Lonchura striata: one gene and its partner. The protein of the gene in region 1 purifies or fractionates together with the protein of each later gene. This does not show direct contact. Links are inferred from orthologs where the notes say so. Each region holds a gene or a part of one and is shown in the gene's direction. Other genes may lie near its edges. The genes, in order: DUSP4 and MAPK8.

The links.
Region 2: the proteins of DUSP4 (region 1) and MAPK8 purify together in Homo sapiens (affinity purification with western blotting; 3 studies listed by BioGRID and IntAct, with this or other methods). This does not show direct contact. The link is inferred for Lonchura striata from reciprocal best matches to the Homo sapiens genes DUSP4 and MAPK8.

The regions. Positions count from the first base shown.
Region 1 is NC_134606.1:44,023,616-44,039,494, reverse strand, and holds DUSP4 (dual specificity protein phosphatase 4), read left to right. Parts: upstream 1-8,144; coding exon 8,145-8,667; intron 8,668-11,237; coding exon 11,238-11,398; intron 11,399-11,815; coding exon 11,816-12,035; intron 12,036-12,173; coding exon 12,174-12,559; 3' UTR 12,560-13,784; downstream 13,785-15,879. UniProt on the Homo sapiens protein: Regulates mitogenic signal transduction by dephosphorylating both Thr and Tyr residues on MAP kinases ERK1 and ERK2.
Region 2 is NC_134609.1:14,835,116-14,850,342, forward strand, and holds the start of MAPK8 (mitogen-activated protein kinase 8), read left to right. Parts: upstream 1-7,922; 5' UTR 7,923-8,008; intron 8,009-11,029; exon of another isoform or gene 11,030-11,114; intron 11,115-13,442; exon of another isoform or gene 13,443-13,461; intron 13,462-13,481; coding exon of another isoform or gene 13,482-13,574; intron 13,575-15,227. Other genes in the region: FRMPD2 (FERM and PDZ domain-containing protein 2), read right to left, coding at 389-545, 1,448-1,633, 2,962-3,114, 3,994-4,132, 4,229-4,379, 5,199-5,373, 6,048-6,119, 7,071-7,198 and 1 more. UniProt on the Homo sapiens protein: Serine/threonine-protein kinase involved in various processes such as cell proliferation, differentiation, migration, transformation and programmed cell death.

The DNA.
Region 1 (15,879 bases):
TGCCAACTGCTGCAGAAGCTGATTCCAGCCCTGAGAGCATATGTTTGGCAGCAGCCTGAGAGCCCGAGGTCTCTGCTGCTTCCCTCTGCCCCTGATGGAAATACCAAGGCCAAGGCAGCAGGATCAGGCCTTTCTCAGATAAGGCCTTTTTTGTTTGTTTGTTTTAACAAGAGAGACCTCACACTGGCACAGGAAACCACTGAGAAGCGAATTGAAGGAGGCTGGGACAGTTGTCCAGCCTCATTTCACGTTCCTCCGGAGGCACAGAGCACCACCAGCCAAGGTCTCCCATCTGTTCCACCTCTCAAAGAGGGCCCAGCTTTAAAGTTCAGTGGGGACGCCTGGGACAAAGTCCATGAAGACCTTCACGGACACAATCATCTGACGTTTTTGGGTGTGAGTCAATGCCTGATGCACCAAGACAGGAGGTGAATCAGTCACAGGGCTCTGCTGGGGGTGTCTAGAAAGAATCACGGCAGCTGCGGTCACTTCTGACCCCCTGGGCCATCCACACTTGACCCCATGGCTGCCTCATCTCCGGCAGGGGACAGAAAGACACGACAAGCCAGGGCCACGTGTCCCTGCCAGATTCGTGTGATCAGGTCGCAGCAGGAGCTGAGATCATCTGTGGAGCAGAGAAGGGAGATTAACTGGAGGCACAAAGAAGCCCCAGAGGGATTTCAGACTTTCTCCTCTTGTCACAGCCTCCTGTGGATGGCTGTGATGCTCAGGTCCCTGGGGTCCACGGCTGCTGGCACAGGGCCCGTGGGAAGGATGTGCGATTGTTCGCGTGCTGAGACAGCGCCCAAGGCAGAGCCCAGGCTGGGAGGCAATGGAGAAGGAAAAAGCCTGTCTTTAAACTTGAAGCTGATTTGGGGTTTTGTCTTGTCACAATTACGATGATTGACTCTCTGTGCCTCAGGAGTGATTTCTGGATATAAATCTTCCTTTGGTTTTTTTAATATACATTTGCCATTGTCTTGGTCCCAGGCAAGCATCAGGCCATGCCAGCCAAGTTAGAGTCACAGAGCTAAGGCTGCATTGGCCTACGTGAGGCTGCTTTTGTTCTAACCCCTCTGCTCAGCAACTTTACACAGAGCAACACCAGTGTGAGGCACAGATACACAGAAGTAGCACAAATGTGTGTCAGAAGGAGTTCAGCTACACTTCTGGCCTTTGAAGAGTTCAAGCTCAGCAATCTCCCTGTGTTTAGTAACCACCCATGTGCTTTGCTTCCAGGAATTTATCCTTTTACTTTTGATGCTCTGTAAACTCAGAGCATGCACAGGTCCTGCAGCAAGGTGTTTCCCTGGTTAACAGCTTGTGCAAGTTGGTGCTCCTTATGTGAGTTTGACCTTGCCAGACAACACTTTTGGTTCCCATGTCCAGGCACCTGGATGAACCCTCAGCATCTCCATGCCTCACAAGAGGGCACAGTCCTGTTGAAAGAGCCTCTGAGGAGCCCAGCTCCCACCTGGCCCACTGCTTGAGGGACAAGAGACCGAGTTTGTCCCAGGAAAAGCAGCAGGTTTCCGTTCCCCTAGTGCCTGCCACTTGGGCCTTGGGATCAGGAACGAGTACAAGGGAGCTGCTTGAAGCCAATTGCACCCCTTGTGTCTGTAAAAGAAGTACCAGACACAAATCATCCCTCCCTCAGTGTAACTTGGAGGGATGTCCCAGTTACTGCTGGCACAGAACAACCTGTATTTCCACTGCTGTTTCAAAACTCATACAGGTACCACTGCTACATTCATAAAAATTAGTGGGAGATTTGTCATTCATAGCCTTAGTGTATGAGTCTGACACTATGTATAAATAGGTTATAGTCACACTTACATAACACTGCCTTATTTATGATCTTAAGCCCAAGGGAGAAATGTCTCTTCCCAGCCCTTTCTTCCTAGCAGAAAACGTCATTCAAAGCTCAGCTTCAATCCTATCACTGAGGCCGGATGCTTAACCAAACACTGGGAAATTCAAGCGAGGCATTTCTCTTTCAACTTGCAAACAGTGATGTACCCAAAGAAGGCAGCTGCTAGGATCTCTGTGCCCATGATTAAATATTGCACCAGGGCTGGAGAGTTTTCAGGAGTGATCCCTGGCTTCAGAGCCATGAGAGATATAATGTGTGTTAAAGGCAAAATGTCACAGGCTATGTTAAAGGTTAAAATGCCACATCCCTTAGCGGCTTCAATCTAGTTCTCAAAGCAGACCCCTTACACTGCATTTGTCTTACAGCAAACTGAGAGGAGGGGATCAACTTTCTTTCACAGATTCACTTCTCTGGCTCTCTGCTGCATCCCCAAATCCTGCAGCCAAAGATGTAAGACTAATCCCCATGGCACTAAAAATTCTGGGATTAAGAGACCCATGTGCCTGTTTTATCCACCTCTGCTTTATAATCCTTCGTTTTAATAACATGACCACAGACCATGTATGTCCTGACACCTGGAATGGGGAAAGCTTCAGGGTTTTTGTGAAAAGCAGGAGATGGAAGGGGATTGGAAGAGGATGCTGATGGGGTCTGACACAGCACCACATTTGTATAAAATCATGACAAAATGTAAAGCATAGTCTGCGCAGATTCTTATATCAGGAAGAAGCTTCCCAGTGTGGGCTACCCTGGTTCACCAAGGCTGCAGCAACATTCAGCAATCACCCTGGATCCTACCACCCACCCCCCAGTCTGAAGCACTGGTAGAGACTGTGCCCAGGAGACAGCCAGGCTGGCTCTGCACCTGCCGGGACCCGAACCAGAGCTGGTCTCTGGTTCCTGGTGTTGTGGAGGGGTGATATAGAGGGGCAAGTCTGCCACACCTGTGGGAACATTGGGCTCCTAAGTCCTTCAGAGCAGGAGTGATGGATGTATGAGTTCTGCATGCCCTTTCCCACTGTCCAGTCTTCAGGAGTCCCACCAGCAGCGAACCTCCAAACCCTGCAACTGGTGTCCCCTCACACTTCCCACCAAAACCAGGCAGGTCAAAAAGAAACAGCACAGGATTTTGGAAGGCTCCCTGTTTCTGCAGGCAGAATTTAGGCCTGTTGCAGAGCAGCCCTCACCTAGCAGAAGCCATTGCTCTTCTTAAAATCTTATTCCCATTACTGACCATGCTGGATCAGGCCTCACGTTTCTCACCCAGAGTAACTGGGGCTGCACTGACTTTTACAAGCAGAAATAAAAGCAGTGGCAAAAAGCAGGAGGTTGAGAGAGAGAGAGAGAGAGTGGGGAGAGAAACCAAATCTGCAGCAGAAAATCTGCAGGCCACTTTGTATCCTGCTAATTTGAGTGGGTCCGGCCCTGATCTCATTTGCATGGGCATAAACCATTTGTAGCTATTGAGGTACATGGAGGACCCATCAATGTTCTGAAGAAGTGCTCCTTTGCTTTCAGGAATAAAGGCTGCTTTTTCCATCTTCCAATCTAAATCAGATCAGAGGCCCAGAAATGAGTCTCCTATCTAGTGATTTATGGCTCTATCTGATATTGCAGGGAAAAAGCAACAGATTATTTGTTCTTCTTGAGATAAAATCTGTAGGGCTGGAGTGGGGATTACACACCAAGGCCTCAGCAGAGAGCAGAGAAAGCAGACCTGGCAAAGCTCCTGGCATTTTTCATGTGCTGTCAAAGGCTTTTGGGTTCGCATGCGGAGAGCTTTGTGGCTTGAGGCAACAAAGACTGTGGCAGGGTTCAAGCAGCCTGGTGTGAAGGAGCAAGGATGGGATAGGGAAGCACCTCAGCCCAGCCTGGAACAAATCCCCTTCCTTGGCTCCCTTGCCTCTTGCTCCAAGCACACACAGTGTTTTCAAAAAGCCCTGAGAGATTGTCTGCTGAAAAACTAGTTATGGCTGAGCCGCTCTTGTGACTGCCCACCAAGAGCTGCATTTCCTCTGGCTGCCTTGGAGGATGGGGTGATGATCTGGGACATGCTTGCTGAAATATGCTGTTGTGACCCTGGGACACATCTGGGACAGTATGGAGCTTAGCTATGAGAAGCCAGTGCAGGAGGGATGCATTTGGGCCTGAACAGCTACCTGCCCTCTGGTTCTTCCTTCTCTCCAGGGGTGTCCCATGCTAGGCAAGGCGCTGCCCTGGGGCCTAGGCTGGTCACATGCTTCTGCAGCTGAGGGGTTGGAAAGCACTGAAAATGAACATTTTCCCCTCCTCCACCTTCTCAGCCAACCTTGCATAATTTCCCCTTTAGCCTCTCTAGACAGGTTCATTACAATTCCCATCCATTAATATGTAAATATGCCCTAGAGGAAAGACAGCCTGAATTTATTAACATGAATCTTTTAACTCTTTCACTGCTGCACTTCCCTTTGTGGACAGGAGGGTGCATTCCCCAGCCTGGAAAGCTGTGAGGAAGGGAGATGGCAGGAAAGGAGAACTGTAAAGTGCTCCAAGAGGATAGAAGGGAACCATGCCCCTGTGGCACTCTGGGAGGGTAAGGCTTTTCGGTAAGTGCGGACTTGCAAGTTGCTAAGACCTTGATCCTGCCTTTCATTTCTGCCAAAGGCTTCCTGCACATGCCAGGGCAAACCACTCAACCCTTTGGCCAGCCACTGGCAGCAGCCAAGGAAAGGTGGCAGTATCTTTATGCTGCAACCATTGCCACGTGCCAAGAGTAGTGAGGATGTACCTCTGTGCTTTGTCCATCCATAGCTCCACTGGCTGACCAGGAGGATGGAGGGAGTCAAGCTCTTGGGAAAACTTCAGCATAACAAAGTCCTGGCCACTGTTCCTGCCCAGCGGCACAGAGGCAGGCACATCTGTCAGGTAGCTGAGACCTGCACTGTGAGCCAGCACATCAGGACTCCATGAGTGCACACTGGGGCCAGGAGCCAGGGGAGCAGAGCCAGGAAACCTGGAGGAGTCCAGAGGGCTCGCAGAGCTTAGCATCTTAAGAGCTGCCCACAGCAACTATTGCCCACCCAGGGGAACTTATGCTTTGGCATTTCTCTGGGCAGAAAAAACCTTGAGGTAGCCCAACAAATGGGGATCTATTGGCTGGCAAATTTACAGCCTGACTCTAATTTGGTTTTCACTGCCACAGTGAGATGAGGTGTAAATTCCTTTTTCTTAATTCAAGTTACATATTGACATTTAATCATCCAAATATGTGCCTCCTTTGACAATTCATTTCCCTTCAACCCTTTCAACAATTGTCTTTTCTGGCCAGGGCCCTATAAAAGATGATTCCTTGACTCTGCTGCAAAGGAAATGAATGTATCTTGCTCTCTCTCTTTTCTTTTGGTTGTTTGTTTTCCAGTGGGATATATTTCAGTTTGCACCATACGGATGCTCTTTGACAGGAATATTAGCTTTCACACTTCTCTGGGTTTACAAAGTCAGGCATGGAGCCATGTGGTCTTCTCCAATCTCCACCCCCTATCCCCAATCTTTTCCATACACCCTGCCCCTTCAGCCCACATAGCTGTGCTGCTTCTTTTGACTTGTGGCTTCTGCTTTGCAAGCATTTTGGGTGACTCTCATCTTAATACCTCTATAAATAAAGTTAATTAGATTTCCTTTTGAGCTAACTGCAGTGAGGGAGATCCTTCTTCTCCTCCAGCGGTGTGTCATGGCCTTGCCTTGGTTCATTTTGGGCACTCTCGCCTTTGGGTTCAATTTCTCCACATCTGTGAGCCACCAGCCCCAGCAGAGCGCCAGCTCCAGAGGTGACCAGCCAGGAGCACAGATGTGACAATGCCTAGTGTGGGTGCACAGTGGGATTCCCAGCAGCCTGACTGGGTGCAGCTTATTTTCCAGGAAGCCAAGAACCTGCCACATCTAGATAGGGCAGCAGGAAGGGATGAAGAGTAGGGAGAGGGTTCAGTCACATGGAAATACCTGAAAATCTCCACCAGATGCACATGCACACACATCCTTCCACACTCTGCCCTGAAGTAATATCCTTCATCAGTGCTCTTGCAAACATCAAGGAACGTCAGCCCAAATGCCCCTTCCTGCACCCATGACAATACTGCCCTCCTCTCCTACCTCAGATGGGTTTGTCCCAGTCACACACTGGATGAGAAAGGGAAAAATAGGATGATGGATCTGCCTCCAAGGACATACACTTTGTGCCCTTGGTTATCCAACTTTAGCGTAAAAGCTGGAGTGAATAGTGCAGAGGGCATTTGAGACACCAGGCTAGCTCATCCTGTGTTGGTGGCCAGCAGCTGCCCAAGAGGAACAAAGAAAACAAAATATTTTAGCATCAGGCCTTGCACAAAACTTTTTAAGATGCTTTGATGATCCAACTTGAGTTCAAGGACTCTTGGTACGAGAGTATGATTTCCCATTAATTTGTAATCAAATTCTCAGTTTGAGATTTTTGTCTCTGGCAGCTTTCTCTACAGGAAGAAAGAATGTTTTTGGTATGTCACTGGCCACCCAGAGTCTGCTTTACTTCAGCAGAAATAGGGTTTTGCTATTCTTGTGTTTGATGCATGTTAGAATGGGGGACGATTAGCCTTCCACCCTTGTATTAGGCAACAGGCTCTAATGCACCCTGGAGGGGGGTTTATTACACAAATGGCAGCTGTGTTTCCCCCACAGCTCATCTGATTTGGCTTGGCTGGCAAAAGGTTGGCATGGCACACAAAAGCCACAGGTGCAAAGATTGGGCTGACTCAGGCCGAGGGGAGAATCCAGCAGCGGTCAGAGAGCAGAGTGTAAAGGATGCAGGAGTGTCACCAGCTGTAGGTCCTGCACGTGTGTGCTAGGCTGGATTCCTCCCAGGCAGGCACACACAGCAAGGTGTTACCCTGCCGTGCCTGGGTAAACAGCGACCGAGTATGCAGGGGAGGGGAAGCCAAGCTGCCTCTCCAAGCGCTGCCCTCTGTGAAAAGCAGTGACAGGGCAGATGAGCTTGAGTAAGCATTGGGCCCCTAACCTTACACCCACCACATCCAAGTCCACATCTGGATAGCTGAACACCTTCAGGTCTCTGAAGCACACTCACCTGGGACTGGCCGGCATCAGCGTGCAGGAAATGCCCTGAGCACTGTTGCTGGCATTGTGGTTTGCGATGCTGCTTCTGTTTGAAAGCAGTCTGAAAGGGGACTTTGGGGTGAAATGATTGCTCGGTGTTTGGGTGGTGGTTATGGGGAGACCCTCCTGGGACACTTCAGGGCTGTGCATTTACTCCTTAGTCTTTTAATAGAAAATTGAATTCCTCTATGTGAGGAATGAAATCAGGCAGGGTGCTGTAGTGTTTTCAGGGCTCTGCAGCCAACGAGATGCCGTTTTCTGACAGGGGAAGCGTGGCCGTGAAAGATGCATAGCCAGAAGGACCCAGAGGGACCCTGCAGAGCTGACAGCGGGCCCTGCTCAGTGCCCCCCGCCGCGGCAGTCCAAGCGAAACAGCAGCAAGGAGACAAAGGAAGAGGAATGTGCGCAGCGTGTGCCCGGCCTGCTGTGTGCGTGTGCCTGAGTGTGTGTGTGTGTGTGTGTGTGTGTGTGTGTGTGTGTGTGTGTGTCTGTGTGTGTGTGTGTGTGTGTGTGTGTGTGTCTGTGTGTGTGTGTGTCTGTGTGTGTGTCTGTGTGTGTGTGTGTGTGTCTCTGTGTGTGTGTGTGTGTGTCTCTGTGTGTGTGTCTGTGTGTGTGTCTGTGTGTGTGTGTGTCTCTGTGTGTCTCTGTGTGTGTGTGTGTGTGTGTGTGTGTGTGTGTGTCTCTGTGTGTCTCTGTGTGTGTGCGTGTGTGTCTCTGTGTGTGTCTGTGTGTATGTCTGTGTGTGTGTCTGTGTGTCTGTGTGTCTGTGTAGACGGGCGCGTGTCCCGCAGCCTGTGCACGCGCGCGTGTGTCCCGCAGCGTGCGGGTCCCGGGGGGCGCGGGCGGGGGTGACACGGGCTGCCCCGCGGTGACAAAGGCGCGGCGCGTCGCGCCGCTCTCGCCCATTCACAACCCGGACGGGTTTTCTTTTTTTTTTTGTGAATGGAGGCGGTGACGTCGCCGCGCCCGCGCGCCGCCTCCCCTCCATTCATGCGGCCGCGGCGCGCCGCGAATGGGCGGGGCGGGGCGGGGCGGGGGCGCGCGCCGGCCGCCGCCGGGTAGTAAAGGCTGCGCGCGGCGCGCGCGGGGGTGCGCGAGCGGCGCGGGCGGCGGGCGCGGGGCGCGGCGGGCGCTCGCTCCCCCCGCCATGGTGGCCACCGAGGGGCTGCGCGAGATGGAGGGCAGCGCGCTGCGCCGCCTCGTCGGCCGCGACGAGGCCGGGGCCGGCGGCGCCGCGCGGTGCCTGGTGCTGGACTGCCGCCCCTTCCTGGCGCACAGCGCCGGGCACATCCGCGGGGCGCTCAACGTGCGCTGCAACACGATCGTGCGGCGGCGGGCGAAGGGCGCCGTGAGCCTGGAGCAGATCCTGCCGGCCGAGGGCGAGGTGCGGGCGCGGCTGCGGGCCGGGCTCTACTCCGCCGTCGTGGTGTACGACGAGCGCAGCCCGCGCGCCGAGGCCCTGCGCGAGGACAGCACCGTGGCGCTCGTGGTGCGCGCGCTCCGTCGCGACACGGCGCGCGCCGACATCCGCCTCCTGGCAGGTACCGCCGGCGGGAGCGGGCGGGGGACACCGGGAATGCCGGGCGGGAGCCGGCGGCGGACGGCCGCCCGCGCCCGGGAGCGAGGTCCGGGCTCGCCGTGCCCCGGGCGCTGCGCTGCCTCCCCCCGGCGGCGGCTGTCCCGCAGAAGTTGGGAGCCGGCGGGAGCGCTGGGGGCCGCACGCACCGGGGCTGCGCCGCCCCGGAGCGGGGTCCCGGCTCCGCCGCAGCGCGGCCATCAGCCCCGAGCGTGGGTGCCCGGGCGGTCTGAGCCGGCTCCGGGGCATCGACCGGCCCCGTGGCCCTCCCCGGGACCTGAGGGAAGTGAGCGTGTTGGGGGGAATCCCCCCACGCTTTGTTTGAGTCCGTCCCCGGCCCCGTGGTGCGCAGGAGGTGTTTGTGCAGGTCAAATACCTGCTGTCACGGCGATGTCCCCTTGCAGCGGGCAGAAACCCCGGGGACGCCTCTGTGCTCCTTTTGCGACTACAGCAGGGATCAGGACTCCCCCCCTCTGCCGTGTGTTAAAATGGGAAGCTGTGCACATTTGGAGCTGCTGGTCCTGAGAATTGCCTTGAGATGATTTAGAGGCGGGGGATGCTCAGCTGGGGTTCCTGGATGAGCTCTGGGGGGCTTTTTCTTTTTTGTTTACAGCCTGAGAGTCAATTTATTCCTTGGCTTACTTACAGCAGGAGTGAGGATGTGTATGCAGAGTAGCAAATCCATTAAGAGGCTTGATAGATGGAGGAACTAGCGCTTCGGTTGTAGTAGATACAGTAAAAGCAGCAGGAGCTGTTCCAGGGATGCGATACGACGTGCTGCTGCGGGAGTGCCTGTACAGCAAGGGCTTGCTCAGGAGCAGGCTCCTTCACCGCGAGCCAGCGTGGTGCTGGAGCCACGCATGTGGCAGGAAATGCTGCTCTCCTGCAAGGGTGGCCTTTGTCAGCTAAGAGCTTCTGGTGCCTCTGTGGTTCTCGTGGGAGGTTGGTAGGAATGGGAGCTCTTTTAAGGAATGGGCTCCGAGAGACTCAGTCTCAGCACTACAGTCTTCTTTTTGCGTTCCACAGAGCCACTGAAATAATCTTGTTCTGATTCCATGAGGGCTACACTAACCCAGAGCTGTGCATGCCCAAGTGCACATTTGTGGGGTGCAGGTCACAATGAAAATCCTGAAGTGTTTTGTGCAGGTCAGGCTGCTGCCAGGTTCCCTGTGAAGCAGCCGGCCTGGGGGTTGCTTGGCCATAGGCACCTGCTCTGCCTGGCTCCTGCACCGGGCAGGGCTGGTGTGAACAGCCAGGAGCTGCTGGATCAATGAATCTGATGAAATTCATTGAAGAGAAGCATTTGAATAGGTCTCTTTTTCTTTCCAAGAACCATTCTTTCCAAGATTTTTCTGCCCATCACCCTGGGTAGCTTTTCCCTCTCATGGTGTGATGACCACTGGAGTGTGATGTAGTAGATCCAGAGATTTTAAGACCAGAACCCTGGAACTTGTCTAACAAAGACTTTTGGTTTTGGATGCTCTTTCAAATCGAAGCAGTAAGACTGTAAAGGGATGTCAGGCCGGGGAAATGAAGCTTCTGCAAACTGTCCTGGCTGCGTGGGAGGGACAATGCAAATGCAGTGATAGATCTGCACGGTTCTGCTTTAAGGTACTAGAGCCCTTCCTTTTGTAGGGGGAGGAAGCCACAAAGGACACTGGGATGCTGGCAGTATCGGGCTCTAGCTGCCCAGGGATCCCTGGGCTGCTTGAGAAGCTTGCTTCCATTGTTTTGAATATCCAGCCTTGTTCAGGGCAGTCTCAGAGCTTAGGCTGGGTAAGAAGTATCCTGCTGTACGCTCTGCTAAGCCAAAATCTGCAGGCATAGGTCCTGCAGTTGGTTTGAGTCTTCAGGAACCAACCTGGGAGTCAGGGCTTGATCTAGCTGGAATCCTATGATGATAGTAAAATAATGATTTTCATTGATTTTGAGGCTCAAAGTCAGACCCTTCAAGGATGTCAGGGTTGTTGACTTGATCTGAATGAGAGAAGGAAATCTCACCAGAAGTGTTTATTGGCAGGCCAACACTGCAGTTTCCCTGTCCTGGGAACTCAGTGGGATTTGCTCATTTCACCGGCCATGAGGAAGCCGTGACATTCCCTGTGCTGCTTATCCCCCTGGCAGCAGGTCAGATGAACAAGCTGCTCCATGTTCAGCTTGCACCTGAGTCCTTGGGAAGCAGCAGACTCCTCTCTTGGAGAGCAGTTTGGCTGTGGGGTCAGCCAGAGCCAGGGCTTTCCTGGTCTGTTGTTTTGGAAGCTCTGAGCTGGAGGGTCAAGCTGGGAATGGGAGACCTGCCTGTCTTGTGACAAAATGATGTGTCAAGGGAAGAGGAGAACTGAATAGTCTTTGGCCTCGGAGCAGCTTTTCCCATTTAAGTCTGAGTATGCTCAGAGAGCAACCTTGGCCTCATTCTGGAGTTTTGGCTGGCAGTATGCAGGGAACCGAACCCTGGACCAGAGACTTTGGGTGGCCAAGATCATTGCTCTTGGTGCTCTTGCTCCAAGGGAATGGTGGGGCCGCAGGGATTTCCCCCTTGCTGCCAAGAGCCTGACTGCTCCTCCTGGGGCAGGAGACCACTCTCCATCGCTGTAGCATCATCTAGTGGCCAAGGGCATCTCCGGCTGTGCCGTTCCGCAGTCCTGTGAACGCGGTCTGGGGTAACACTTTGTGCCTCTCTTCTTGCAGGGGGCTATGAGCGCTTCTCCTCGGAGTACCCTGAATTCTGCGCAAAAACCAAGTCCCTGAGCAATGTGTCACCCCCCACCAGCGCTGAGCCCCTGGATCTGGGCTGCAGTTCCTGTGGGACCCCTTTCCATGACCAGGTATGTCTAAAAGCCCAGTGCTTAGCTAGCTTGACTGCCCTTCCAGCATTACAACCTGCTCCAACAGGAGTCTCTCTGCTCTCCCTTAGCTGGGGCTCACGAAGCCAAAGCCCTACTTCCTTTCCTCTCATGGGAAAGCATGGTGGTCCTCCTAAGCCCAGGGTGTTTGTGTGCCCCGCTGAGTGGACACGCCCAAATCCTTTTAACCCACACCTGCCTGTTTCTGAATAGGACAAAGGCAGATAGAGGAAGGGCTGAAACAGGTTTAGCACCTCAGGAAGGCAGCCTCTGCTCCCTCTTCTGAGGACCCTGGATCGGGTGCCAGGTTGCCGCACAGCTCGTCGTTTCCAAGCCATCTGGATGTGTGTCCTGCCTCCCACTGTCCCCTGGTCAACCTGTTGTTTTCTTCTGTCACAGGGTGGGCCTGTGGAGATCCTTCCCTTCCTCTACCTTGGCAGCGCCTACCACGCAGCCCGGCGGGACATGCTTGATGCACTGGGCATCACAGCCCTGCTGAACGTCTCCTCAGACTGCCCCAACCACTTTGAGGGGCACTACCAGTACAAGTGTATCCCTGTGGAGGATAACCACAAAGCTGACATCAGCTCCTGGTTCATGGAGGCAATTGAGTACATTGGTGAGTGCCCGTGCAGAGATGTCGTGTCCATTGGTGGCACCGGTGGGAGGGAGGTCAGCCACCACCTGCAGGTTGGGTGAGGGGCTGGGCTGTGGTGGCAGGGTGTGGGTCTCACATCTCACCCCTGTTGCCCTCCAGACTCAGTGAAGGAGTGCTGTGGCCGGGTCCTGGTGCACTGCCAGGCTGGCATCTCCCGCTCAGCCACCATCTGCTTGGCGTACCTGATGATGAAGAAACGTGTCAAGCTAGAGGAGGCCTTTGAGTTTGTCAAGCAGCGCCGGAGCATCATCTCCCCCAACTTCAGCTTCATGGGGCAGCTGCTGCAGTTTGAGTCGCAGGTGTTAGCCACTTCATACGCAGTGGAGGCCGTCAGCCCCTCGGGGACACTGCGGGAGCGGGGCAAGGCCACCTCCACCCCCACCTCGCAGTTTGTCTTCAGCTTCCCAGTGTCTGTCGGTGTCCATGCCACCCCCAGCAGCCTCCCCTACCTGCACAGCCCCATCACCACGTCGCCCAGCTGTTAGCTCAGGGCCGAGGCCAGCCAGGCAGGTAGTGCCAGGCGTGCAGGGGCGTGGAGCCCTGTGATGTTAAGCAATAGTGCCGGACACTGCCATTCACCCTGGACTCACCATCCTTTTCGTAGGGAAATTTTTTACCTCATCTTGGTTTGTTTGCTTTTTATTGTTATGTTTTGAAAGCACGAGGTTGTAAAAGCCACAAACCTTGACACTGTCCAGGCTCTTTGGGGGAGGAAAAAGATAGTATACTGGGTTTCCTCAAGTGCCTGGTCTTCACGTGTTTCCATCCCGATTTTATTGTCTTGTTTTTTTACACCTCCCCTTCTCCCCATGTTTCTGCCTCAGCTCATCTAGGTTGACAAAGGAGCATACCCTGTTTTATTGTGCAGCAGCCTTCCCCCTTGCAGAGAGACCTGTGTGTTTATGGCAAGTGCTGCTTACCTGAGCCAGGTACACTTTGGACAAGCAGAGCTGCAGGCAGGGCTTTGGGGTGAGCAGGAGTGGTGGCACAGGGCTGCCTGCACTCAACCTCAGCCCTGCCAGTGGCTGGGGAGATGAGGCAGGAGCTGGCAGGCACCTGCCAAGTCACCAGCTGAGCCTATTCCAGGGGGAGAGCAATCTCTGTGGTTGGGAAGTGGTTTGGAGGGAGAGATGTAGTCTGAAATGCCTTTTCTTGCCTCTGTGGATCACTGGTTTCTAGAAAACTTAGGTCCAATCTCCTGTGGCTTTAAGATGAGAAAGAAGGGGTTGGGGCAGCAGTCTGGGCTGCTTTTGATTACTCTGCTCAGTTTCCTCTCCACCAGTCCCACTGCTGCTCTTCTTCCAAAAGGAGCAGGACGGGACATGGGTGGGCTGTAATGGAAGAGAGAAGCTGTGGGGTGGAGGACAGGCTGGCCCAGAGGTGTCATTCATCCAGCATTTTCAAGCTTCTTCCACATCATGGCCAGCCCTTTTCCTGTGCTGAGTCTTGTTCACCTGTGCAACATTTCTGCAGCTTTTGGTCCAAGCCTTGAAAATGCCTCATCTTCAACCCACCTGGAGCCTTATTTCCCACCCTACCTCTGTCCTTCCCTCCAGTCCAGTCCAACACACAAGATGCCTGTGTGGCTGATGTACATATGTATGGTTTTGTTCTTTTTTTTTTTTTTTCTAGAAATTAACTTTTTATTTATTGCCTGAGGGAGGGAGAAAACATTGTTTGGAGAAAATAAAAATAAAACTGTTTTCAACAGTTTGGCTGGAGCAAATTTGTCCTAAGAGCAAGACAGAACAGCAGGTTGTGCACACATTCCATTTTCACAGAGCAACTGTTAAAAATGTATTTATTGACTTTTAAACTATTACAAGTATTGCAGATCAGACATTTAGCCAAGCACACTTATAGATCAAACTCAGTTGTTACAGAGATGTTACCTAAAGTCCACCATGTAGATAGGCTGAGAAACTGCCCATCGTCTTCAACTTTGAGAGAGAAGGTAAAAGAAGAAATAAATAAATGATATCCCAGCTCCAGGTAATTGGCAACCAAGAGAGGACAAACACAGGGCTAGTTATGAAAACAAGTTACACAAAAAAGGTCTAGAAATTCAACCCCTAGCTACATTGCCATCTGGGTTGCCAGAGAAAGCTATTAGGAATGACAAAGCACAAGCTCATGGGACCACAGCACAGGAAATCCCCATTTCAATTTCCAAAGCTGAAGCAAGTTCTGCAGATGTTAAGAAAGTGTCAAAATTATCTTGTAATGACAGAGATTCTAATAATCTACATTAGTAATTAAGGGGACCAGCACTAAAACTTGCCGCAAACAGGTTCAGCAACACCAATACATCAAAACCAGTCAGATAATGTGACTTGACAGGCATATGTGTCAGTGTAATGGAAATGCATTTGCTTCCCAAGTCCCCTACAGATTCCCAGGCTCATTCACCTTGCTTCAGAGATTTTAACACACATACAATGTTCCCCAATCCCCTGGGTTTCACATCTACTCTGTGTTTAGAGGTGGGAACACTGCCGCTCCCTCTCTGCACTCCTGCTACTTTTGGAAAGACCAGGAAAGCATGCTCTGGACTGTGCCAAGCCACCACCTCTGATCACCAATGGATTCAAGTCTGTGGAGGTTCACAAGCCAGTTGTTATGTGAGGCAAGAACTGAATATATGCTTTCCCAGGTCTTCCCTATCCAGGCTGCAGCATAGCTTACATTGCTGGACAAATATTCAGCTTAACAAAACTGAAGCATGCATTAGATGCATGACCTCTTGGATTTCTAAGCTGGACTTCCTGTGGGAAAGCAGCATGGAAACAGAGAAATCCCACTGAAAATAAATTCACATATTTCCTGACATTCAGCTTCTGAGAATGATTTGCAATGTTCAAACTAATCTGTTTTGTGGCTGGACCTTTCTGTTTACCCATCTTGAAAAATCCTGTTCAGGGCAATTTCTGTTAACAGTCCCATATGGAAATTGCAGGCAGTGCATGAACTGTGCAGAAACTGATGTCATTGCAGGGTTGCTGGAGGCTTGTTTGAGATTTGCCACTGTCTTAAGTAGCCCTCACAGGCCATGCAGTGGCATAACATGTTTGCATCCCTCAGCACCTCACACATTCACAGGGAGCAGACATCTCCTCTAACCTAAATAAACAGCAGGAGCAAGGAGGTTTCCAGAGCCAAGAAAGTGCCTTTCTCTAGGGGCTACTCCCTCCCATATACCACATACCTTTTCTGTGTCTGCTGGCCACCACAGCCAAGGGTGCAGAACATTTTGCAGGGTTTTCTCTCTGCTTCAGTGTAGAACTTTATTTTGGGGTATTCCCATAACAAACAAGCAAAGTTTAAGCTTGCAGGCAAAATAAATTCCTGCTACATAATGCAGTGGGATTCAATTGCATCACATGCAAACACTCGAAACAGAGTTCAGAAAACCAATAGTGACTGCAACATGGTGGAACTAGTATAAGAGGTTTGTAACAGTCTCTGTGGAGCTGGGGTCAAACACAACTGATAGATAAAAATAAAAATGAAAAAATAAAATATACCTTATTAAGGTACTGTACTGTCTGTTTTTAATCCTAACAAAAATTTTGTTGACAGCAATCGGAATGCAGTGTTACTCTGCACCAAGTATCTAAGTCATCAGTCTCATGGAAACAGTTTCAGCAATGGAGAGCAGAACCCTCCCTCCTTTGTTAGGTGGTGACTTTTCTTTCTGTTTTTTCTATTAAGGTCCTGTTGCAAAACTACACAGAAGCTTCAAAATGCTGCCTCAAAGGGACACTGACAAAAATCAATAGGCCTGAGAGACACATTGTCCCTTGTG
Region 2 (15,227 bases), on another chromosome or scaffold:
AGTTTTAATTTGTGTAGAACATTTTTCAGATTACATTTGTGGTAGATTGGATATATTTCTGCAGAATTCTCAGCAGCAAAATTCTCCTGATGGGAAGTGAAATCATGCTTATTTCTTTTTTAAATCTGAGTTTAGCTACATAGCTGTTATCATGAGAGAATCCCTTCTCACCTCCTGCACATGCTTATTCACATGCACATGCCAAATTAGACTTAGTCAGACAAATTAGACTCTTTAAACTTTCAGTGTAGTAGGTGGCATTATTTTCTAACTGAAACAGAGTGAAACTGAGGTGGCAGGTTCTAATTCTCAGAATTGGTGAATGTACCTTACCTAAAACATAACCTTGTCCTACGGTCCCAGTAACAAAAGTGCATTTTTAGCTCACCTGATGAAGTTTGACGAAGTTGCCTAGAATTCATCTGTGCATTGAATTTGTGCTGGGCAGAGCAGAGGTCCAGTAGGTATTTACATGTCTTTGCTGTATCAGTAATGAAGGTGTGTTTCTTGCCACTGAAGCTGCTTTCGATCATGAATTTTTTTCTCTGAAGGGGAAAAAAAGCACAGGTTGCTTCATATATCAGTCATTACACTGAGGCACTGACAGTTCATTTATAGAATCTTGTTGGTTTGTTCAGTTGTATTTATGCCTGACTCCATCCCTTTTGTGTGCAGTAAATGCCTGTTGTAAATTCAACACTTGTAAGCCAGGTGTCTGTCATTGGGATCATAACTCTTCTATGTTAAAAGTCAAGAACCTTAGGACATTGAATGCAGTGATAGCAGGTGCTAAAACCGCAAAATTTGGCCCTACAGATGTTAAAATTATGAAACAAATTTAATATGAAAGGGAACATATCTCCAACGGGGAGAAGGAATATTTTTGGAGAGCAAACAAGCTGGGAAATGTGTAATCCAATTTGACACCTGAACTGTACATTGATACACCTCTAATGTCAAAATCCCATTTAGAAATGGGTCGCAATCTTGTCACCAATATTAGTTTGTTAGCAAACATCAATATACTAAAAGATGAGGTTGGGAATAATGAGATCTGGAAAGTGGAAGACATCATCCCATGACCTGATGTAGTCAGAAAAACAGAAGAAAAGAGCAGTAAAGACAAGAGATGAATTAATATGGAATATACTGTGGAGAGATTTGGCATAGTCTCTGTAATAGTCAGCACCAGATTATTTGGTTTTATGGCAATTTGTCTTTGGCCTCAGCATAAATACTGTGGAACTATACCTCAAAAAGAATGAATTCTTTGTATGTTCATATCCACATTCAGATCCAGCTTTGATTTGAAGCTCTTTTCAGAAAGGACTTGCCCATATAGAGTGAATCTAATTCTCACTCTGAATGCAATAAATTTATCAAAGCGACAGGAAGAAAGGCAGTTAAGCAGTAGAGTAGAGAAGAGATTCAGTTAGTTCCAACTCACGTGAGCTGAAATTCTCTCTGTTTCTCGCCACTGGAATCTTAAACTGGCAATTCTTGTGTGATTTTTGTTCTCATAGACGATGATGCCTTTGGCACAGATTCCCAGGATGATGTCCCCTTCTGTCCCTTTCTTCTCTTGGGACACACGATAGAATAACACTCCATATTCAGGAAGTTGCTGAGTCACCTTGTAGGGAAAAAGTATTTTAACCATGCCCTTACTCAAAAAGATTCATGGGAAGAAAGGTAGATGGAAGAGAAAATGTTTTTGAGTGTCTTAGGAGTGTCTGCCCCTGCCATCTAACCATGCAGGGGATATTCTGAGAAACTCACCCAGAGGTTCTGGGTGTTGATGCTTGTCTTTCTACCTACTGTACTTGGCCATGAAAGTGTTAAAATGTGGCTCAGACACTTTACAGAACTATGGAATAGGACTAGGATTTTCTGTCTAATCTACAGACCAATATGAGTTTATCCTAAAACCTTATATTTTCTTTCTGGGAAGCTACTGTAGAATCCTCAAATGACTTTTCAATTGTGAACAGAGGTTTTCAGTGACCAAAATAAAACACTTTAAGAAGATCTGTTTTTTCAGAAAGTAACCATAGTATAAACGTTCAGGTCCTGAAAACTGGGGCATCTATAATCACTAGCTGAATCTGGGTTTTAATTTTTAATCCCTTTCATATTTGGAATTTACATTTTCTTGCCATGGGGTCTGTCTTTCTCACTTTGTATGATGAGTTGGCTCCTTCTACAGACTTATTCATTGAAACAGATACTAACAAAGCTTCTTTTTCTTCATTGGATTTGCCATGCATCATGGGACTGTCATTTAGGCTAAGCTTCAATCTATTTCTTAATTGCACTGACAGTGTTAGATGAAGAACTAATATAACTAAATAGCAACTGAACTAAAATGATGCTATAAATAACAGCATGTGGCACTGCAGCAAAATGACTACTGGTATTTATCCATTATCTAATCCTTTATATTTTTCATTTGATGGAAAGCAGAGAGGTTTGGAGAGAAAGAAATTAGCAGGAAAAAAGTTAAATCCCACGTCATTGTGACACTTTAGAGCTCTAGAGAAATAGTCAAGTGCAAAAATATTTCAGATAACTCCTTCCTCACTTCCAAGGTTCACAGATACTTTTAAACAAACAATCACTACATATTTAGAAAGTAGCTGAACAGCTGCTTTAATTTCAGAAGTCAAAAAAGTGCTTAGTCTCATGTTTTATAATCTTCTGGATACCAGACATATTGGTAACATGCCAAAAATTTACATCAAACCTTAGAATGCTGCAAATACACCAAAACTTGTTATGAAAACCCTCAGTGATAAGTGACAGTATCTACAACAGAATAAAATTTTGAGATTTTTGTTGACTATTCAAATTTTTTCACCATATCTACCATTGTATCAGACAAGAAGAAAATAAACAACGGTAAATAGAGAGGGGCTCTCTACCTCAAAATTAATAAATAGTGTTTGGGGTATGGCAAGTTACCTTTAAAAATTCTAGTTCAGCTTCATCCTCAAATAGGGAGCGATTCATACGATGTAGTTTAGCAAGCTCTCGCTGTACATATGCCAGGGTCATTTTCTCTATTCGACTTGCTGGAACGTAGTCTTCAACACGAAAATAGCTCTTTCCATGCATCTGTGGGGGAAAAACAAAGAGACAGGAGCCTTTTGTTCTTTCTTGACTTTTCTTATTCATCGCATTCCATTTTCAGGGTGACCCATATGCAGAAGTCACCCTGCTGCCATTTCCCAAAGGAAACTGGGGACAGCACGCAGTGTCCTGACAGCCAAATTGCCTCTTGCCCCTGTGCTCAGGCAGCTGCTCAAAGCACACATCACTTCTTTGGGCAGAGGAGAGGAAGGATCTGGGCCTACAGGCGTGTCCTGCCCTTAGAGCTGACAGCTACAGCTGCATCAGTACAACCTACAGTGGGGGACCCATTGCCATGATTGATCTGACCACATGGATTAGACCACTCCGAGTTCAATTAACAGAGCTACCCTGATTTACATAGCTGAAGTTATGGAAGCAACATAAATGGGTGTTTTATATGCACTTGAAAACTAGGACAGCCAGTTCAGATATACAATCAGAGACCTCCCTGTCTTTGCAGCTTGTGGATCTGAGCCTACACATAAGACAGCTGTGAATTCTGAAGCGTTCATTTGCTTTTCTCTTCCCTCTTTACTAATCTCTTTAAGCCCCTCCACACATCCAAGCTGGGCCTGTGTTGGAAACTTTCTACAGATTTTCTAGAGTTTCTAGGCTATATTATCAATGAAGGACCTAGACTCTCTCATCATTCTGCCATATTTCCTGGCAAATTCACCTGGCTCATTACTACTCCATAATCAGGAATATTTTGTAATTTTTAAAATTAAGTCTGAAGGACTTATCTGGAGGACTTAACTGAAGTTCTTTGCTATTCACATTTCTTCTTTAAACTCTATGTGACAAAAGCTGCAAAAGTTGTAGAGAGAGACCTCTGAGAAATACTGTATTATTTCTCCACACCTCAGAAGCATAATTGCCAAGCTCTGCCTGTAAAGCCAAAGCGCCGAGTTTCAGGGCAGTCTCATCACTGCAATATAATCGCTCCTCCAAAATATCTTTACGAAGCTGCAGGTAAAACTGGTGCCTTGTCAAGCCATGCCTGGAATAGAAAAGGGTTTAGGAACTCAGGAGGAGCTTTGAATGGTATCCCTAAATGCTACCAGTTTTCCTTCAGTCAGCAGAATTTTGCACTTACTGAATAACATTAAAGTGGTTGACAAAAAATTTTATCCTTAGAAAAAGTGTGAAATTAATGATGGACATTTTCTTCTTGGGTTGGTCATTCCAGCCGTCTGGAGCCACTTTGTAGAGTTTGGTCTCCTCATCCAAAAAGAAGAATTCTTTACCTGAAATGAGAATTTTGGGTTCTGTGATAAACCTGGATATACTTCAGCAGCATAGTTCTGCTGTCTTCATAGAGTGCATCACTAGCAATAAAAAATAAATTGGATTGGGGATGTCAGCTAAGATTTAGTTCTCAGCTTTAACTTCTCAAATTTTAGTTATTGCTCCTTTGATGTAGAACTTAGGACAGTATGTAATTTTGGATTACAAATGTTAGATGCTGGATTAGTATGGTATCTGAGAAATCACTCAAGGACTCATGGAGCTTGCATTCTTCTCACCACTCAGGTTCTGCACCCCTTTGTAATCCTCATGCCCACACACAAGGTGTGCTCTTTCCCAGTGCCTCAGCTGTGCCTGCCATCAGAAGGGGACCAGGGAGATGTGGGTCTGGTAGATGACACAGCTGAACCTGTACTCCCACTTATATCTAGGAATAAACACAGGCAGCCTTTCCCAGTGCAATGCTTCCTGGAATTTCTGCTGGACCTGCATGGCTCAGTGTTATTTGAGTGCAAGGCTGGGATACAGCCTTTTCTGCCTGGGAATATCAGTGAGTAAATGTTGTATGGCTGTGCTGTGCACAGTCCTAGGGCAGACATGCTTTACACCAGTGCAATGCAGTTTAAACCAACATACCTTACTTTTGCACAAGCTTTGTGTCTGCTTCTACCCAAGGATCTTAAAGGATCTTTGAATTAATTCTTGATGAATGATTATTTGATGCATTCTTGAATGATTCCTTGATTAATTCTTACTGGAATTCATTGATAAAGTGACTACAGAGGCATTGTCTCATATATAAATAACTGTCTCGTTACCTTTCAGGTAAGCCAAGCCAAAGTAGAAATGCTCCACCAAGTTTGCATATGCCACCACAGTGTTGAAAACATCTCTTGCCTTGGTCTTGATATCACATTGCACCTCAAGGCACTGGCCATTGAGTAGAATCACATTGAGATCCCTTTGGGACAAATAGGATTTCCCTTTTTTAGTCTAAGAACATGCAAGAAAGAATGAAGAATGAGTGCCAAGTACAAGCAATGCAAGTTCCACAGCATTTTATATTGAGGCCCACTAGTAGCCTGTCTCTATGCAACTGATGGAATTGGTCACAACACCATGCTAATCTCTGCCTCCCTTCTCATAAATTAATATCACAAACTTTTCTTATTTCCTTAAAACCAAAAGAATCACAACAAAACAGATGAGCATACTCAAATTCTCCAGGTGCCAGAGTTATTCTAGATTTGGTGCTACTTCCAAATTTGTTTTGCTCTCATTTTTACAGCTATCTGCTGTCATCTTTCTACCTTACCTTGATGAAAGGTAAAGTATCTGCTTGCAAGCTGGAGAAGTCCCATGCATTGGAACTAGATGTCATATTGCAGATTTACTACACAGTCTTTGTCTCAAAGGTCTAGGGCTAAAGTGAACATTCTTAGCTGAGAAGGATAAATCAAGCTTTTTTTTACACCAACAGAAATAACTAAATAGCACTAAGAATTAATGGACACCCTTTCAAGTCTCAATATCTCTGCAAGGAACCCTAACTTGTTTTGAGAGGAGGACATGGAGAGAATACTGGCTTGAGACTCAGGTGCTATTTACAAAGAGCCCTGACTGAAATGTCACTGGATTTGTTCAAAATCCTTAATGTTCATTCTTACCACAATTGATCCAGGCAGCTGTAAGGTCACTGGTGGTTCACTTGACAAAATAATAAATTCTGGACCTGAAAACTGCAAGGAGGCAATTTAGAAATTTTGTAAGTCTTCTTAATGGAATGAAGATCCCAAACACAAGTATCAATGAAACCCATTTCTATTGATCTGTATGCTGGACCTAATTGACTTCAGTGTTGAATAAGGTGCAAATGCTGACTGGTGACTTCTCTCTCTTTGGTGTCTCTCCTTTGTAGACTCTCCAGGGTCTAAGTAGGGCTAAGCTCATGTGGAAGCCTTTTCTTCTGTAAAGGTACTTAATCAAAATCCATTTCCTTTGCAAGGTATCTATTTTCATGACACTTATAGAAACAATTTATTCTGAGACCTTTTCTCATTTGATTCCCAAATTACTTTGAGGACAGTCACAGACACAGAAACATACAAACACACCACTGTGATTGCTTAAGCCCAACTTCCCTAAGAACTAGACTGAAATGCAGAGCTGCTTTCTTCCCCATAATAAAGGCTGACTGATGGTTCTTATTATTAGACATTGTATTCTTTTGTTTTAATTGCAAATAACTTCAACAGTTTTAAGCTCTTTTTTCCTTGCTGAGTATCCATCTCAACTAGTTGTATATATTGGGTTTTTATCAGATACATCTATGCTTTTAGATCCCTTAAGCAGACAGAATAATTAAATGTCTTCAAATAATAAGATGTGAATCCTTCCAGCCATTCACCGTGACTTAGTAACTTGACCCATTTAGATACTTAAAAAAAAAAAGAAAGAAATTTCATAGCAGTATGGTCTTACCAACAGACAATGCAGTTTTGCATCACATTAAAGAGGGAGTAGCACTGTGTTGTAACAGTTGCTGAACTCCTGTGAAAGGCTGTTATTATCCCCACAAAAACCATAATCACAACATTTAAATCATATAAATATAATGTATAAAATAAATATAATATAAAATTCATATGAGGAAATATAATTTTCCAAAGTATCTAAGTGAAGCTCTTGACCAAATATTTGTCACTGGTCACTGCTGAGCTTCTGGACTGGGAAGAGGTGAAAGGGTTCATCAGCCTGAAACCTGTCCCTTCTTGTTCCACAACAGAAAACTCCATATGAAGGATCATGGTGGAGTTTTCTGTGAATAAGTTATTTCTGAATTTTTGCAAACCGGAAAAGACTGCAAAACAGCATACCTTTGAAAGAAACTTTGTCCTTTCCATTTAACAGAGTCCTACTACAACTTAGAAAGTAGAAAAAGTCAGTTAGGAGAACTACTGTCTGGGCCCATTCACTGTCAGCCTATGCTTTCTGTCCAGACATGCACTGTAAAAAGAAATTTAAGTCCTTTGAGCATCACTGGCTGGCAGGCATTTGGGTACACTGTCTCTGTAAAGTTTTTGCTGTTCTGAAACTGCTGTCGAAGTGGTTGGGGAAAACAGTCCATATGGTGCTTGATGCTGGCAGAAATCACATATGTAGGTCAGAGAGGGTTCAATTATGAGCTTTTGCTTAGTCCTTACAGACAATTGCTTTCACTGCCTTCGGTTCTGACAGCATAACTGGATCATGCCTAATTTGGAGTCTGTCAATTTAGAATACTCATCTAATAAGATGACTCAGTAGCTAATATGCACATCATTGTCAAACAAAAATTAGATGAGAGGCTTCTCTTTAGTGATATTTACATTTTGAAATCAGCTTATATGTTTTTCGTCATTCACCTTTTCCTTCCTGTGGAACAAACATTTCTGTGATGCGGCAGCTGCTGAGGAGTCCTTTGTGGACACAGAGAAGGTGGATCCCAAGCTTATCAGGTTCTGTCGGCTGTTCTTCGCAGTTCCACCCGGGATTTCTTCTACAGCACTCACCGACCTTCAAAGGAAATGTGAGAAAAAGATCTAACATGCAGTCAACACAACAGTGACCTGGGGGCAGAGATCTTAAGGTACAGTAACTACTGAATATGATGAAGTCCAGGACAATGTCTGTTATAAGCTCCTTAATGTCTCTTTACAAAAAAAGAAAAATTTAACAGGAGTATAACTCTAGATTTATTTATAACTCTCCGTTATAAATAAATCTAAACTCTGCTTTGATTCAATAGAGTCAGGTTTGTTTCTTTCCTTCATTTGGTGAGCCAAATGCAGCTGGTTTAAGTTTGGTGAAGCCGACAGGCAAAAAGTGCAGCCCCATTCCCTTCTGGGAATTCTACAGGATGAAGAAAGTTCCTCATTTATTATTTTCTCAAGAAAAAAGCTTCAGAAAGCCTTAACGTTTGTTGTTACATTATTCAGAATTTTTCCAGAAATGGGAATTAAATTATTTGAATACTAATTCATTAGGATAAATTAATGTCCTAGGGAACTGAGGGATTTTTTAATTTAATTAAGAAAAAGGTGTGTGAAACCTCAGATCAGAAAGCTGTCTCTGTACTGTAGCTTTGAACAAGAAATGATTATGTTGTTCGGGAGGGGTTTTATTGAGGTGGATTTTTGTTAATTACATTTTTTCAGCAAATGCTAAAGACACATAGAAGCTTTTCCATTATCCTAAAGTTTTATCATTTTCTTTTGCACATTGAAGATTTACATCAGGCAACTATTCAAGGAATTTCTAAAAATTTTTCAAAAATTAACTAGAGTAGTTTCTCATCTCTTCTGCCTAGTATCCAATAACAGGGAACATGGGAGCAGTTCAAAACTACAGTACGTGGAGTTCAGAGATGTTAGGAACCATTTTTTCCCTTAAGAGGGGGCCAAACACTGGAACAGGCCACCTAAGAGATGGTCACTGGTCCAAGCCTGTCAGTTATTAAGAGTCATTTGGAGATGACCTTAATAACATCCTTTAACTTTTGGTCAACTCTGAAATGCTCAGGCAGTTGGACTAGATGATTATTGAGTCTCCTCTCCTCTCCTCTCCTCTCCTCTCCTCTCCTCTCCTCTCCTCTCCTCAAAATCCAAAATTCATTATTAAGAAGGCTTTCTTTTACTGTGGAAAACACTTCCTGTTATTACTCCTGTTAGGTGAGATGTGCCAGATTTTACAGTTGTGTCTTCTTTAGATATAGACCAGAGCCTTGTTTACAAGCTTCACTTTGTGAGATGTAAGTTATGTTAATTTGGCTTCCTACAGAATGAGCATGATGATATAAGTAAGCTTTATAGATAGTAAACCCATCACTAATTTTTGTGTTGGTTGTACTCCTACATGGGAAACGTGATTTCCAAAGTAATTTCAACTCCACTGCTGTAATGGTACTTGTAATAGAATGGTGACTGTGGTAGACATTCAGTTGCAGATGCTTACAGCCAGGAGTGGGGTTTAAAGTTCTTGAAGTTCTATGGGAAGCAGCTTGCTGGAAATTTGGAGAACAGAGTTCGTCCTTCAGCAGAGGAGGTGAACTTATTCTTGGCAGCATGATTTTAAATCAAGTACATTAAGATCATATCTAGAGTTTTAGTCAGAGGCATGGAAATTACTGTGAAGTACTCAGTAAATAAATCCTCTGTTACTCATATAACTGTTAGATATATGATGCATATATAGATGTTGGTGAACACATACACAAATATGTGTGTGTGTAGTTAGACAAGTAGACAGAGACTTCTTTCTTGACAAAAGCAGCCACTATCCCGCAATCTGCTTGTAGATCTCTCTTGTTGCAGTTTTACAGGTGTACTGGGGTATCTCATATTGCCCAGATTATCATGGCTGATTTATCAGGAAGTTCAAACTGTTTACTTAGGACACATTTAATTGGGAGTTGATCTAAATTGAGCATTTCCTGTGGGCCTGAATTACTCGTGTCATGGTTAAAAGAAGAAACTCCTGTTTAACTGGGTCAAGAACCCAATTTAAATGGGATGTCTGTAGGGATTACATGGTGCTTAACTATGGGATTCTGGGCTTTGTGATGCCTAGAGACTGACAGTACTTGCATCTCTTTGTTTGGAAGCTGCACTGTGCTAACACCCAGTCTAGAAAATTCTTGTTTGGCAGCAGGGGTGTTTCCCTGGCTATTGAAAAGGACTTAGTATCAGTTGTACAATCCTCACTTTTCTTTGCCAATGTCTACAGGGCTGCTGTCCATTCCATGGCTGAAATGAGGCTAATCCTCATGACAGAGCAGAGGTCTTTACTGCTCGTGACCCTGGGTTTCCTGTAACTCTCCAGTACAGTGGCAGTGCAGGGCTGGACATGACTGACACAAGTGAGAAAAATCAGTATAAGGACTGAGATGGAAATGCAAATGAAAATTATACATTATATACATGGTTTCACATAACCACTACAGAACACATAAGGTGTGACAGCACTTTAATGTGACAGCAAGGCTAGACCACATCCAAAATCTGAATGTGGACAAATAAGGACTCTGGCAGAATGCCTTGACAGGGAAAGTGATGACTATTAATACCTTTTCAATAGATTTTTCCCTTCATAAATTATATCATTAGTAAGGTTAAAAAAGACCTCTAAGATCATAAAATCCATCCTTCCACAGTGTCTGTGCAGCAGTTTCCCAGCTGTTTCAGTCACAGGGGACTAATGCTGATTCCCTGCCTGGGGGAGACACAGCTGGGGGCAGCTATTCTGGGAGGCCTGTGGCATCTGGCAGGACACACTGGTACAGAGTAAATGTGGAATTCCTGCATCTGCTTTGTATGGATCGTTCAGGGCCCAGGTTTTTTGGACTTGGAGCCAAACCAAGAGTAGGTGAACATTATTTATTTATTCTACATAGTAGAATATTATGTATTTATTACGTTATTTATTCTATATAAATATAATAATATATAGATATAGATATAGATATAGATATAGATATAGATATAGATATCTATTATCAAAGCAGGCTCAGATGTCAATTCAGGCATTTCTGATACTGGCATTGCCACACTAACTGCTGGATTCACTTGCTTATAAAACAGCTTTCATCTTGTAGAATATAAATTGAGCTTACCTGTTTATGAAGAGCTTGTAGCTACTTTGTGTCCTTGACCCACTAAGTGTGGTGTCACATGATCTGTGTGTCTCTGGAATTCTTCCTGCAATGAATATAGGAAATTTCAAAATTCAAGTGATAGTAGCGGCACTCAGCATCGGATATTGGGACAATTATAACAGGGAAGAAATTTAAACTGGCAATCTCCTCTCTTGTATCCTCACTTGGACATGATAAATGGCTATTTAATAAGGTTAATGAATACTACACCAGCAGTATTCCCAGTTCCCTAGTTATTGTTACTTCCTCTTCATAACCCCTTATGTGAATGTAATTTGGAAAACAGCTGTGTAGGTACAATGGCTGTCATTTCCATCTGTATGGGGGTAATTTGTGGAACAGCTTTTTCTCTTCAGAAATTATGTCCAATTTTTGTTCTTCAATTTGCAGGCATAAAATGGGCAGAAAAAGGCATGAAACTTCTCTGGCTTAATCAGAGTAGAATATAAAATCAATTAAATGAAAAGGATTGTATCTATTCCACTGGTTACTTTCTATGTTATATATATTGTGAATGTTTTTACGACATACAAACATGGTAGGAATAGTGGATGGCTTGTGGTTCCTTAGCAAATAAGGATTGCATTGTTTTTCACCTTCAATCATCTCTGTTGCTACACTATGGACAAGTGTTGCTTTGTCATGAAGGCTGAAATTTAGAGGCAGAACCAGAAAGGGTTATACAAGTTGTAGTTCTATGAATGTTTCTTGTATCAGCAGAGATATTTGAAATCTTTAGGGAATGGTGAGAAGGTTAAATTCTTATTCACTTTGATCATTTCATTGATCTTATTTGAAGACTTGCATATCAAACTATTACATAAGTAGGATGATAGAGGTTGTAAACAAGCTGTGTGGAAGGAATCATTTTGATAAAACATTCATGCACTACACCCTGAGACTTCACTCTGTATTCCAACATGAAAACGTGACACTGAATTCTAGTGTACCAACCAACCAACTGCAATTTTGAAACCTAGAAAATCTACAGTCCCATTGCTAAAATAAGAATAAACATGTGGGGTTTTTTCAAGCTGCAGATGGTAGTGACAAAATGTGAGATTTGAGATAAGCTAGTTACCAAAGTTAAGATTCAATCCTGTGTTCTGAAACAACATGCTTTTTAATGAGAAAACCTCACAAAATTCTCTGCTTGCACTGTGGTTTTAATATACTTGTATAAATATATTTTGATAAGATCATAAAATTCTCCTTAGTCTTTCTATATCAGCTGCTCTAGCAGTGGGACAACTTGGCTACTTTCCATGGCCAGACTGCCATGCTTTGATCACAAATCCAACACACACCTGACATTAAATTAACATGTATTCTTCAAAGAAGTTAATGCTGTAGATTTACTATATGTTAAATGAGCTCCTAATGTGCAGTCTTGATAGAGATATTTATGTCCTTTGATAATGGTGCTCTGCTAGATAGTAATATTTCTTATCATAGCAGAATGCTTTTTTTATGATGTATTATTTTGTGAAAGAATGTTTGTGACAAATAAGCTCTCACATTCTGTGTTTACTCATGTGTTTTTAGAATCCTGTATTACAAACTCCTGAGTATGCACAGCTACCTGTGCTTCATTGGAGATTGAGATATGCACAAAGGCCCTGGAATGAGCCTTTGTCAAGTTTATGACCAAAATGTCTTTTAAATTGCTTATGAAAGTGACTTCTGAATTTGTCTTCACTGTGTGTGACTGTGTATGTGACTCACACGTATGTGTCACTCATGGAGCAGCTGCAGTCTCAGGTTTTCATTGCTGCTGATATTGATTGCAATTCTGGAGCTTCAGAAAAGCACCTTGCAGGAGGAGACCATCAACAGCAGTAACCTCACTTTCTCATCCTTGGGCTGAGGGCTGAGAGGCTATGATATTATGGGTTTTTTTCCCATGATATGCCTAATTTCTCTCTGAATTATGTCCCCATAGAACATTCACTCTTAGGTGTTATTTATAGATTCAGCTGATTTCAGAGCTGATGTCTTGACATTGCCCACCATATGCATTTGTGGGGTAGCCCCACCTTTTCTGTGTCAAGATCCCATGTGCTAAAAACATAATGTCAAGCTTTGTGATCTGCTGAACAGCTTTACCTGGCAAAGGGGGCATGAAGCAAGAAAGAGGTGATGGAGCTACATGGTAGCCAGGAAATTTATAGCTGTACTGTGGGACACAAGTGAAAAATAATCAGATATAAAAATATCTTTCTTCCCTACAACTTAGCACAAATATACCTCCCAAGTCACATAACCACAAGTTGCATAGGAGTATCTGTCACCTGGTACATGGTCAATCCCACACTTTAGGGGACAAAATAGATAATAATTCACAAACATAATCTTTTTTTAAAAATCTTACCTTTCCTGTGTCCTCGGTTAGACAGTATCAAAGATGTACTTTCAGAAATACTATTAGAATCACTACAATCCACAGAGAGTTGTCTGTAATCTTCTGTTGACTGACTATAGTTCATTAATCTGGGCCCTTTGTCTGGAAACAGAAAGGAAATGTGGTGAATCATATACTTTGGTAATAAGCCATTGTATTTGCAAGTTAATGTAAATAACATTTCGATCTGCTAATTTTTATATAGACCTCATCCTTCTGTCTTCTAACCCTGACTCCAATTCCTTAAAGACTGAGGAAAGCATGGTAACATCATTCTATTACTTTCATATCCTATTCTGACCAAAATTGGTTTTCATAGTTCTCAATTATTCCATATAAAACAAATCTAATTCATTAATTCTGTTCTACATGTTTAACTGAAAGGTTGCAAAGTGCAGATAACCTGCAAAGTTCTTATTCCTTCTACTCTGAGGTCCAAAACTTTGAGCTAAAATTTCTTCTTTCTGTGTGCAGGCTGGACAATGCCCAAACAGAATCCACTACCAGAGGCAGATGCAGAAATTTCATTAATGGGACATCCTAATTCATTAGGATGTATATATTTTTCTTGCACGCTGACTTTTCTTGTTTTGCATTCTCTTGTGTCCTTTTACAGAATCTCTGAAGGATAATTTTTAATTTTAAAAAAGGAAGAAATGGAATGTTGTCTTGCAAAGTGCAGCTCACACATTTTCAATATAATTGACACCCTAATTCATTGAAGTCCTTTGGCAAGTGTAAGTCAAGTGATCTGAATCATGAGCAAACACAGAGATCACACCAGACAAATAATCCCTGCAACCAGTGTCAGGAAACTGGCAGGAATTTCTGGTTAATACAGGGTTGAAAATGGGGCCATCCTTTTTGGCAGCAGCAGAGTTTCTACCTACTTTTGCAAGTGTGAATCTACAAGCTCAGTTGAATAAGTGAACCGATATGGCTTGATGGGTAGCTTGTCTCAATGTTTCCAAAATAATCCCCTTCTCTTATAACCAATAATAGCTAATGGAAATATTGCAGATATATTTAAGTCTGTGTTTGAGTCTAGCTGATTTCATGGCACAAATGTGTGATTTACTGAATAGGAATTGTATTGCTCATATGCCTAATGCTGAGCATATCCCAAAAAATCTTGTATAGCTTGGGCCAGCTTTCTCCTTGCTCCAAAATCAGAGATCACTGTCAAAGTGAACAGCACAGTGTAGGCACTAGAAAAAAGATACAGTTATAGAATTACTCTGAGGGATAATATATCTTGATCTTAGTCAGATGAAATAAAATCTTGGTATATGCTGTTTTATTTATATTGTGAGCAGGATTTGAATTTGTCTTGAAATCACTACAGCAATTACTGTGTGAATTTATAAAACATCTTTTGAATAGAAAATTAAGCTAAAATCAAAAAAATAAACCACAAATCTTTCCTTGAATAATCAAATAGGAAAGATGACTATATATTCCTTAATGGCAGGAGAATAACCTCACAGAACTCCAGCTTGCAAAATACACTGGAGTATACAAAGTACAAAAGCAGTTTTGAAAGCTGAGGAGTTTTATATGCACAGGTTTTATGCAAAGAGCTTTAAGAGTCAAATCTGTGCAACCTGATTTGTTATCATTGCTTCACAGCCCTGAGACTATTGTCCTTTGTGGAAATAAGGAAAAGAAACCTCACTGACTTGCCTCAGAGTCTTTCCATTATGAAGTAATTTATACGTACAGCAATAACTATCTTATCCAACACTACATGTAATC